Neurospora crassa OR74A: one gene and its partners. The protein of the gene in region 1 interacts with the protein of each later gene in a pairwise test. Links are inferred from orthologs where the notes say so. Each region holds a gene or a part of one and is shown on either strand. Other genes may lie near its edges.

Evidence for each region. The genes of interacting proteins can lie anywhere in the genome.
Region 2: the proteins of NCU03039 (region 1) and NCU04281 interact in binary tests that used the Schizosaccharomyces pombe proteins (3 or more experiments, as listed by UniProt). The link is inferred for Neurospora crassa OR74A from reciprocal best matches to the Schizosaccharomyces pombe genes prp2 and wat1.
Region 3: the proteins of NCU03039 (region 1) and NCU02633 interact in a two-hybrid assay, tested with the Schizosaccharomyces pombe proteins (3 studies listed by BioGRID). The link is inferred for Neurospora crassa OR74A from reciprocal best matches to the Schizosaccharomyces pombe genes prp2 and uap2.

The regions. Positions count from the first base shown.
Region 1 is NC_026501.1:8,349,433-8,353,400, forward strand, and holds the start of NCU03039 (splicing factor u2af large subunit), read left to right. Parts: upstream 1-1,164; 5' UTR 1,165-1,301; coding exon 1,302-1,329; intron 1,330-1,387; coding exon 1,388-1,422; intron 1,423-1,489; coding exon 1,490-2,683; intron 2,684-2,735; coding exon 2,736-2,994; intron 2,995-3,051; coding exon 3,052-3,263; intron 3,264-3,323; coding exon 3,324-3,350; 3' UTR 3,351-3,968. Other genes in the region: NCU03040 (N-glycosylase/DNA lyase), read right to left, coding at 1-554, 636-754. UniProt on the Schizosaccharomyces pombe protein: Necessary for the splicing of pre-mRNA. The SF1-U2AF59-U2AF23 complex has a role in the recognition of the branch site (5'-UACUAAC-3'), the pyrimidine tract and the 3'-splice site at the 3'-end of introns.
Region 2 is NC_026505.1:5,484,167-5,487,788, forward strand, and holds NCU04281 (WD-repeat protein pop3), read right to left. Parts: upstream 2,358-3,622; 5' UTR 2,053-2,357; coding exon 2,031-2,052; intron 1,912-2,030; coding exon 1,394-1,911; intron 1,320-1,393; coding exon 903-1,319; 3' UTR 503-902; downstream 1-502. Other genes in the region: NCU04280 (aconitate hydratase), read right to left, coding at 1-42. UniProt on the Schizosaccharomyces pombe protein: component of both TORC1 and TORC2, which regulate multiple cellular processes to control cell growth in response to environmental signals. Nutrient limitation and environmental stress signals cause inactivation of TORC1.
Region 3 is NC_026501.1:3,000,242-3,004,010, forward strand, and holds NCU02633 (nuclear mRNA splicing factor-associated protein), read right to left. Parts: upstream 2,517-3,769; 5' UTR 2,422-2,516; coding exon 2,125-2,421; intron 1,797-2,124; coding exon 795-1,796; 3' UTR 503-794; downstream 1-502. Other genes in the region: NCU02632 (sulfate transporter), read left to right, coding at 1-408; NCU02634 (hypothetical protein), read right to left, coding at 2,995-3,544. UniProt on the Schizosaccharomyces pombe protein: Has a role in pre-mRNA splicing.

The sequences.
Region 1 (3,968 bases):
CAGGAACACCCGGATTCCTCAACCTCAGCAACCACCTCTCCCCATAAACCTGCGCCACACACCCCGCCGTCTCAGCAATGTACTTGGCCCTATAACCAAAGCCCAGCTCCCTCAGATGGGCCTCGACCCCTTCCCCCGCCAACGCCTCCGGCCCGGGGAAATCATGAAACGCTTCTCCCTCCACGGTGGCCACATAAGGACCGTAGTGCGTACACAGCTTCAGCACCATCTGGCTGATGCGCGAAATGTTGTTGTTGCTGCTGCAGATGAAGGAGATCAGCGTCTCCCATGCGTCCTGGTTAAGGATGCGGATCCCCGTGAAAGCGGGCGCACGCCGGGCGAAGTTGGCATCTGAAAGAGACCATTGGGCGTAAAGGGTAGTGAGAGAGTGAGAGAGGGCAAAGTAGTTGTGGAGGAGGACGGACGTGTCGTCTTCGAAGTCCTGGGGGTGTTCATTTTTGGGAGTTGCTGTACTGGTAGGCCATGTCACTTTGTAGTGAAGATGGGTGGGATCTTGTTTTAGGGAGATGAGACGGCCTTTGAGGACGCAGTGCCTGGAAAACTGTTAGGACTTGATACTTTGAACAGAGAAGAAATAAAAAGAAAAAAAGTAAGATAGTGGTGTGCATTCGGACCATTGTTCATTTATCTTGCGCCATCTAAAGGACTGGCCGCATCGGAGTGTGGTTTCGATGCAGAGCTCTGTGAGACTGATAGGCAGTTTGCGCCATTCTGTCACTTTCTGGGATGCCATATCGTATTTATTAAAAACTCTTAGACTTTGCAGATAAGACAAAAAGGATATAAGGGTCTTCTATAGAGGCTTGATGTGAAATTCTTTGTCTCCATCCCTTATTATGCAGGTAGATTGATTATCACTTTTGTTTCTCATGGACCCAAAATCCCAACCCGGATTTGATGGGGGGCAATGCACTGGGGCTGCAAATGCCCTGCGGTGGTGGTTACCTATCTGCTGGAACTAAGGTACCTCTACAGGGGCAATTCCTCTTCAGTTGTTGCCACGCCATTGCAGGGCGTCAAACTTCCCGGTGTGGATGGGTCAGTGGAACCGAATCGCACGGAAACATAGCGCGCTAAGCCGAAAGAGGATCAAGCGCCCTCTGCAGTAACAACGGCTACTGGAAAAGTTGCAGCCTCGCGATCGACGAGACTCGCAATTGGAAGCTAGGTCAAGCAAAGCCACTTTCCTTTTCATCAAACACCCTCAGAACATTTTCCTGCTTCTTTGGTGCAACCATCTCGTATCACCTCTTTTATACTTAACGAGATTTGTGTTGACCATGAACGGGGACACCTATTCCTCCAGAGGTATGTTGGCACTGACCGTGGCTATCCGCTAGAACTCAACTTAACCGTGGCGAAACAGACAGCGGCCGACACGGTTCGTCTCGCGACTATCCGGTAAGTGTGCCTCGTATACAAACCTAACAGCGGTCTTTTCTGTGGGCCTAAGCTAACCTATTATCAGTCCTCGAGACGCGACCGCGATGACAGACGTGACCGTGGAGATCGCAGTGACCGAGGCAGTGGACGCAGACGCTCTCGCTCTCCCGCCGACTACCGGAGCAGCCGACCCCGTCGCGAAGACGGCGATTTTGACGCTTATTCATCGAGCCGCAGCCACCGCGACCGCGAGCGAGAAGATCGATACTCTGGCCGCGACCGTCGTGGACCCGATCGTGGTGATAGGGAGTGGGATCGTGACAGGGGCGCCGACCGTGGAGCCGACCGTGGAGCCGACCGTGGTGCGGATCGTGGCGCTGACCGCGGGGCCGAGCGTGGAGGTCGCAGCCGGAGGGACGATGACGAAGGCGGCCGTCGCCGGGACAGAGATCGTGACGTGATGGGAGATGATCGCCGCGGTGGAGGCAGAAGGGACCGAGAGGCGGACAGGGAGCGCAGGAGGAGTGTCTCGCCGCCCCCCAAAAAGAGGGAACCGACACCCGACTTGACCGATGTCGTTCCTGTTATAGAGCGCAAGAGGCGCATGACACAGTGGGATATCAAGCCTCCCGGATATGGCAACGTCACCGCGGAGCAGGCCAAGCTCTCGGGTATGTTCCCATTACCTGGCGCCCCGCGACAACAGGCCATGGACCCGACCAAGCTTCAGGCTTTCATGACCCAGCCAGGTGGAGCTGTCAACAGTGCTGCCCTTAAGCCTACGAACTCCCGCCAGAGCAAACGACTTATTGTCTCGAATATCCCACCGTCAGCCACCGACGAGAGCCTGTTGGGCTTTTTCAACCTTCAGCTCAATGGCCTAAATGTAATCGACAGCGCCGATCCTTGCGTCCAGTGCCAAATATCTCCCGATCACAGCTTCGCCATGCTTGAGTTTAGGAACAGCCCGGATGCTACAGTCGCTCTGGCCCTTGACGGTATCACCATGGAGGCCGAGGATGCCAATGGTGCTGCTGGTGCCGGTGGGCTCAAGATCCGTAGGCCGAAGGACTACATCGTACCCGCAATTGTCGAGGACCCCAACTACGACCCTGATTCAGAGGTGCCTTCCAGCATTGTCATCGACAGCCCTAACAAGATCAGCGTCACCAACATCCCTGCATATTTGAGCGAAGAGCAAATCATGGAGCTCCTGGTTGCCTTTGGCAAGCTCAAGTCCTTTGTGTTGGTTAAGGATAAGCATACGGAGGAGTCAAGGGTGAGCCTAATGGTCCTTTCTACCAACGAGCGCACATGCTAACATGTCCTAGGGTATCGCATTCTGCGAGTATCACGATTCTTCGGTCACATCTGTTGCTATTGACGGCCTCAACAACATGATGCTGGGCGATAGGGCGCTGAAGGTTCAAAAGGCCAGCTATGGCATTCAACAGGTAGCTGGAGAACTGAGTGTGAACGCCATGTCCATGCTTGCTGGTACCACTTCCTTGGATGGCGACGTCAGCAGGGTCGTGCAGCTCCTGAACATGGTTACAGCGGATGAGCTGATGGACAACGACGATTACGAAGGTTTGTTCAGCGTTTCTGTCACTACACATGTTCAAGATGCTAACGTGTGCTTTCAAGAAATTCGCGACGACGTCCAGGAAGAATGCGAGAAGTTCGGAACTATTGTTTCCCTAAAGATTCCCAGACCCACTGGCGGAAGCAGGCAGTCTGCTGGTGTTGGCAAGATTTTCATCAAATACGAGAATTCCGACCAAGCAACAAAGGCCCTCAAAGCTTTGGCGGGCAGGAAGTTTGCTGACCGCACGGTGGTTGCGACATACTTCCCTGAGGTTAGTTTCATCAGCTTTGCTCTGATTTGCTTCGCTCGTTTATACTGATAAATCCTACAGGAGAACTTTGATGTCAACGCCTGGTAAAAGACGATAGGCAGTAGGAGAAGGGATATGTTTGACTGTACTGAAAGGAAGAACAGTAGTCGTGCATGGTATAGCGTGATCTGTTGATTGACAACGAGGAAACAATCAGAACGTCATTAGTATCAAGGTTCGGTCATTTCCTCGAAGTTATCGTTGGGATCTCAGCGGCGTGTACAGAAGTTAATGGGATTTCAGCCGCGGTACAGTCAGGGCGCTCAAAAACAGAGGATACAACATCAATACACTCAGAAGTGTATTTTGATTACATGCCGAAGGTTTACAAATACATCATCGATCGGCACAAGGGAAGTTGCATTGGGATCACTTGTTTATCATTATCTTAGTCTAAATGTCCGGGGTCGCCAACCAACGCCCGCGACAATGAACTCAGTTTGCATGCCATGGCGACCGCACAGTCTCGAGCTTAAAAATTGGTACCTAGGTCTGAAGGAACGTTAGCCTGAGCACGACTCGAATTATGCAATAACAAGACGAGTGCGAAAGCTAAAGTTTCAGAAGTCCGTTTAATTCATCAAGTCCCAAAAAGGAACTTTAACATAAGAGGTACCAGAATAAAGTATAAAGTGTGTATCATCAGGATAAGGAGGCTCGGAAAAA
Region 2 (3,622 bases), on another chromosome or scaffold:
CAGGGCAGCGCCTGAGCGACTGGCGAGATCAATTGACCTCATGGTGACAGACTGTACAGAAGGGGAACTTGGTTGTTTGGAGAAAGAAAAGAGGAGAGAAAAGTTGCCGGTTACACTATCTTCACTTTGGTCCGAATTACGGAGCCATTCCACTTGTGAGTGCCGCCGCCACCCAAGCAGCAAATCCGGGGATTGCGGTACACTACATACACTGGAAGTACGCTAACTGTCTTTTTGTCCAATAACATCCAGCTATTTTAAGTGAATGCTTTGTCTTTGATTTCAATTCTGAATTCTGAGATGCCCAGGCAAGTCCTCAAAAGTTCCAGATCACTAGTAAAACCCTCCAGGCCGGCAGTACCCTTGAACCAGTGTTGACTTTGAATCTGCCAAGCCGGGGCGTAACACACAGCTGATCCACTTTTCGACTATTCAAGCCAATCATGACTCGTATGTTCCTAATCGATTCTCTCAGTCACGGACTTCGGCCGAGCTTTCATCTTGAATTGTTCTTATATCCGACGGAAATGTGGTCTACTGTTATATAGCAATACTTTTTGCTACCAGGTATCAAGTGTTATGAAACGGCGTGGCGGGCGTACTTGGGAATTCATGTCGTTGTGTGATTTTCCACTCTAAAAACATTACTTGCATAACCATAAAACGCCATTGCCATAGCCGATTCTACTAAACAACCCGCCAGTCGCTCTCAAAAAGGATATCCGGGGAAAATAGCACATATGAAATGCCCCTGCCATGACACTGCACTTTGCAGCTTCGTTTCCTCTTACATCGACAGCCCATCATAGAGACGTAAAAATTGACATCTTTCCGCAGCCGCCCTACACTTCAGCCGTGTTGCAAATTGTCGCCGTCTCCTCATCTTCATCCAAAAGTTCCCACTAGCGAGCTTCGGAATAATCGTTGAGAGCGACGCATACAATACCGCGGTGATGGCCGTTGTACTGTCTGATAACAAGCTGCGTGTGTAATTCCCACAGCCGCGCATAATGATCACTGCAGGCAGTTACCAAGTAGGCACTGTCAGCGCTGAAGGCACAGTCCCATACCCAACGCTGGTGCTCCTTGAGAGTGGCCTCGAGGGGGAACGCCTGCGGTTCCGAATCGGCCGTGGCAGGTTCCATTTCCCTGACTTCCCAGATCCTGGCCGTATGGTCGGCGCTACACGTTGCGAGCTTCTTGACATCGGGCGAGAGTAGGATGCGCGTGATGCTTTCCTTGTGTGCGGAAAAGTGGGTGAGGGGAATCAGCTGGGTGCGGTCATAGGCCTGGATGAGTTGCCAAACGAATACATTGCCCTGGCAGACAGAAAGGAGGTGTCAGTATATCGGGAAGATACAGCAAGGAATGACTCGGTGGAGAGAAAACTTACAGCAGTGTTGGCCGCACAAAGAAGTGTACCGTCACTGGCAACCGTGACACTTGTCACTGAAACATCCTCCTCGGGGATTAGCTGGTGCGAGCAAGTGTTCTCGGCCAGATCCCACAGTCGGATGCTTCCGGCGCGGTCGCAGCTGATGATCTCTCCCTGATTAGGGTGGATGACAACGTCGTTTGCCGGAGAGCCGTGGTTGTAGCTTCGCTGGATGGTTCCGGTGCGGGTTTCCCAAATCTTGACCGTTCCGTCCTCCGAACTTGTTACCATCCACTTGCCCTCGCAGTGGAAGGCCACGCCGGTCACATTGCCGGTGTGGCCCTGGAAGGTCATGAGGGCCTGCGGGTTTGTGGAACGAATGTCAAAGAGTTTGACATCGCGGTGGCCGGCAGCGGCGAGGTATCGCTTGTCAGGGGATATGCAAAGACGGTTCACTTGAGACTCGGGGTGTTGGATGGTGCGCGAGCAGATTCCGGAGAGCGCCTCCCAGAACCTGATGGTGTGGTCGTAACCAGCTGTAAAGGGCAAAGCGAAGAGTCAGCAGCTGTTCCAATTCGGCACAAGGGAGGAACTGGATCAAGGGGATGGGGCATTACTGCGTCGGCAAGGTAGACCGGGACAAGACAAGCCATACCTGTGCAAAGGATAACCGACATGGTAGAGGTAGCGACTGCGACGGGGATACAGAGGCTATGATTCCATAGTCCACAGACACTCTTCAGGTCTACCGGTACTTGGGCAGTCGGTGACAGACAACGAACGCGTCGATATGGGAAGAAGAGACGTGGATCACGGTAGAACAAGTTATATCGAAATGGCCCGAATTGAAACTGATGTCAACAACGCCGGGAGCTGAGGCCCTGATGATCGCGGGACGGCACTGGACCGCACCGATTGATACCTAGCAGCGGATAGCAGCGCTGCAGGCATGGATGGACAAGACAGGTCGGCGGGGCAGGCAACACAACGAAGAGACCTACGGACGGGACCTATGAAGTGGAGTGGACTTAAGGTTGCCCCACAGTGGAGGGGACAAACGGTGGGGCCCGCCGGAGTCAAGTGGGTTTGAACTGGATGTGGATGCAACTGCCTGCCGGGACCGGCACTCACTAACACATGCTCGACCAACCAGCAACAACAGCCCAAGCGATTCCGTTTCCCAACTTCAACTTTCCTTCCATCAAGCACAACTTCAATACCAACTAACTTCTTCACCAAGACATGAATATTTACTACTTATGTACATCAACATCTTCCCTTTGCTCGAGATCTGGAATCCACGTATAACCCACTTCCATTTTCCTCCTCGCCTGTTATATGACCCAGTGATAGCACCATCTCAATGTCAGCATATTCTCCTCCTTCTTAGGGCCTCTGTTCCCCTCGTCGTCCAGCACGCACACACTCGGACTCTCTTGTGATGCCGCGAAACACCATGTACCAGGACACCCGCTTCATTCCATCTGATGCCGTCATTAGCCATGCCATATCCGTCTTGGATGTGCTACTTTGACACCCCCAACCTCGCACTCATTGGTGAGGTCTACGGCAAATCCGAGTACCAGATGTGTTGTTTCCCTTGCTTCCCGTTTCCCGTCCCCCGCCTCCCAGGTTGGCCTGTGATAGAGTGCCCTGTACGTCCGGCGATATCCGTGCAGTGACCTACCTACTAGAGGCAGTTAGTATTCACTTTCTGTTGGTCAACATCTGCTGGGACCTGCAACTTTAAGCGCGAGTGGGCCCTGCTTCTGTACCACCGACACCTTACAGTCCTACTTAGTCCGTGGACAGTCTTCTTGTAAGTGAGTGGGTTGATTGCCATCGATGAGACCTGAGAGCACGAGTGGAGGCTGACCTGTCTAGGTTCCTTTTTTGCCTTTTCCCTGCGCAACCGAGCCCCGGCCTGACGAACACTCTACACAAGTCACCACCAATCTCAAACTCCATGATCGGCTGTTTGCGTCTCAGAACCCGTCTTCGCAGCGGACGTCCACCTGTTGGAGCCTTTCTCGGTGCCCGAGTGTGGTACGGGTACCCGATTCCGCCAAAGCTTTCGGATTCTTCCGGTTATCAGCATGAACAACCAACTTCCACAGGGCACCATTCCCGCACTGGACTTTTATTTGCCCGATCAACTCCTCTCAGCGACCTGCGTCATGTCGCCCGCCATGGCTGTGCTACCTGTCGGTTTCGTCCCATGTCCGAACTTGGGATGAATCCAAGCTG
Region 3 (3,769 bases), about 5.3 Mb from region 1:
GTCAGCAACAAAAACGAGGATTTCTGGTTTCGTGCCGTGGGTTACTTCAAAAGACTCCAATATCCTGCGGGAACTGTCATCTTCCGGCGCGGGGAGCAGGCAGAAGGATTTTATCTGCTCGAGCAAGGTATGCTCAGAGCCGAATACGATCTGCCACAGGGACGGCTTTGTGAAAGCATCGTGGCCGGAACGACGTGCGGAGAATTGCCGTTCTTCTCGGAGACGACGAGAACGGCGACGTGTGTGGTCGAGCGCGACTGTGTGCTGTGGATGATGGACCGGGAAGGATGGGAGAAGCTGCAAAAGGAGCAACCGGATGTGGCGATGGAGCTGTTGAGGATAGGGTTGAAATTGACGAGCGAACGGATGAGTGTCTTCACGAGTTATACGCTGACTATGGCTGGTTGAGTAATGCTTTTGATGCAGGGGGCACATGGGCATGGGAACAAACAAGCAACTGTGTAATATGTAACATAGGTCATCACATAAGTCTGCGAATATCAGTTATGTCAAAGCTGGTTATAAAGATAGCTCGAATTAGTTTACATATGTTGTATATGCACTAGAAAACCAGTCTCTCATATTGCCCACGACAATGCCACATGTGTAGCTCTCAACTGGAAACTGTGATCAACGGTAATGATGTCGCGTAGTGAGCGAACGAATCCAGATGCAAGCGAAGGAAAAAAAGAAGAAAAGACTTTCCTTTCGTAGCACAGAGCATCAATAAACCAGAAGTTTCTAGTCACACCCAATTCAGATCCCCTAATCCAGTCGTGCGCTGATCATTTCATTCAATCATCACCACCGTCCTCCTCACCCGCATCCTTATTCTTGCTCTTCCTGAACCGCTCCTTGCCAGTAGCAAAGAAAGCCTCAACAATCCTTCCATCAAATGCCCGTCCATGCATCAAATGCACGCACGCCTCTGCCGCCTCCACTGTCGCGAACTTGACGCTCACAATCCCTTCCTCTTCCTCATCAAACAGCACCACGTTAGTCACGGGCCCCAGCTTGGCACATTCCTCCCGGATGTCGTCCTTGATCTCCAGCAGAGCAGCCGGGTCCTCGTTGAGCTCCTCCAGCGTGAACATGTGTCGCAGGATCACGACCTTGTCCCACTTGCCTCCCTTTGCTTCCTTGATCGCGGGCCCCAGAAGGCGGGCAGAAGGGGAGGGCTCGTCGTCGTCCCAGTCGGCGAGCTTGGCGGAGAGCTTTTGGGTCTTTTTGATGATTTTGGCTTTGTCTTGTTGGCTGCGTTGGTTATGACCGTTACCGCCACCGTCGCTGGAAACGGGGTTGGGGTTGGTGATGTTGTTGTAGGGGGTCGAAGAGGACGAGCCTTCTCCCTCTGCGCCACCATTGCCTGCCTTGTCACCACCGCCGTTCTCCGCGCCTGCTGCTGCGTCGTATTTGGTCTTTTTGTAGCTCATATCCGCCGCCTGGACGCGCATTCTGCTGCCATCCGGAGCAGGCTCAAAGCGGAAGTCGGTGTCATCCAGGAGCATAATGGCCATCTCGACCGACTGCGGCTTGAAGAAGACGATCAAGGCGTCCCCTTTGAAGTTTCCGTTGGCGTCCGTGTACATCTTGATGCGCGGGCGGCCGCTGTCGATCTCCTCGGCAATGACGCCGCATTTACGCGAGAAGAGCTCGGCGACCTCGTCAGCCGTCGCATCGAGCGGAAGACCAGTCACGTAGACGGCTGTGTTCTGCTTGGGCTCCCGTGGCGCTTTCTCACGCTTCCGGTTCTTCGATGGACGGGCGTTCATGTTGTGGTTACTGCTAGCGGAGTCCTGTAGGCGTGCGCGCAACGAGGGAAAGAAAGAAAACGTCTGGTTAGTGTCTTCCCCGGGATTGTTTTTTTTCTTCTCACGTCCTGTCCGTCCTCACACCCACATCACAAGGAACACCACACATATGAATCATTCATGTTCATGTACTCCTAGGGGACAGCGATGTCCCTTCCTCTCTCTCGCTCTCTCCCTTTCACGGTTGTTTCGAAAGTTTCAAAATGGGACGAAAAGGGAATGATTGGATCAATATTTTCAAAGAAGGATGAGTGAGTGTTGAAGATGGTGGCAGTAGCGAACGTTGACAGGTGCGCATTCGAGCGCAGCTTACCTCTCGGTCGTCGTTCTTTCTCTTCTTGCCTTGTCCTTTGCCCAATTGGCCTGTCTCTGTATCGTCGTCTCCGAGTGATGTTATGTATGCCCTCTGGTGTTCTTCGATTAAGGCTTCGTCGATGATGGGAAGCCAGCGCTTGAGACCCTCGTCGAACTCGTATTCGGTGCCATCGTCTTGGACCGCGATGTATTTGTTGTCGAGCTTAGAGAAGGAGATGCGCTCGTCTTTGTCAAACTCTCCGGGGTCGGTCGGAAATGTCCAGTACTCGGCTTGTTGTCCTTCTTGTTGTTCCATTTTGCTTGCTTGAGGATGCGCCAGATGGAAGCCTGTGTGTTGTTTAGAGCTCTAATGGCTGCGTTCGGTTGTTGAAGGCGCGAATTGGGTAATTCCAGATGACGTTGAAGGCGGAAAATGCAGCCCTGTCTTCGAACACCCGTTGGAGGTTCCATCCCTTGGTGACGGGGAACCTGCTGTGGGGCCCTTTTACATGGTAGTCGTGGGTACGTTACTTCACGCGGCTTTGGGACTCCGTGACAGTCGCTAGGGCCACTATGACTTGGCCACTATACGTCAACAAGCACGCCCTTATTATTTGCAATAGCACGGGAAGAAGTATAGGAGGATAAACCGGCGTGAATACTTCGGGAGACTTTTTCTTTACGTCCGATTGACTTTCAACCCTCCAGGTTTGGGCATTACTAGTGCTTGTTAGTGCGGTCAAAATCGGTGGTACAGACCTCCATTTTTGATCAAGCTTCGGACGCAAGCCTTCCTACAGCTTTTCAGGGCCTATTGATCCTCAATATCAATCGAATCTCCTGTATGTCGTGTCCTCATCTCGAAGGCTCTATCAAGATCTGAAGTCCTTTACTTCTTCTGGACTGTCTTTTTCACTCCTTCCACAAAGGCCTCGACAGCATCTCCGCCACCTAGAGGCACCATACCGCCCCTGACCATACCACCATTTTCCACTTGGATTCCCAACGCAGCAGAAATGTTGGGGAGTCCTCCATCCCGAAGAGCGATTGTCAGACTGGCAAGGCTCTGGGTAAACTGAGGGCTCCGGAGAACCTTCTTCAGAAGCGCGCGCTTCTGATCCTGGCTCATAGCCTGCCGAGCGGCCTCAACAGACGCGGCACTAGGCTCAACCTCGATGGCATCAGTACCGCTGGCACCTTGCTGAGACATGACAATGACGGTTGGGGGTAGATAGTTCAAAAGGTTGTCGACATATTCGTCGGTGGCGGAATCAAGCATCGGAATCGTAACTGAGGATTCAAGAAGATCGTTGAGTAAAGGGTAGGATTTGCCTTGGGCTTGGGCTTGGCCTCCGGCACGCCCTTGGGTGCCTTTCAGGGACTCGAGGAAGTTCCTTACAACGGCAGCCGCATCCGCCTCGGCATTCGTAGCATTTGCCCTGTCAACGAGAACTATATTAGCACATGTAATGGCATCGGAGACGCAATTTTGCGGAAAGCAGAGGGACGCCATGTGCATGTCAAATTTTAGTGCCTCCATCTAGCAAGTAACAATACAGTTGCACCGTTCTTGTTGCCCTCTGCGCCATAGCTTGCTCATGTTTGGTTGAAGTAGATCAAATGATGTGCGCGCCAAAGCAACCCAAACTCCCAAAACTCATGTG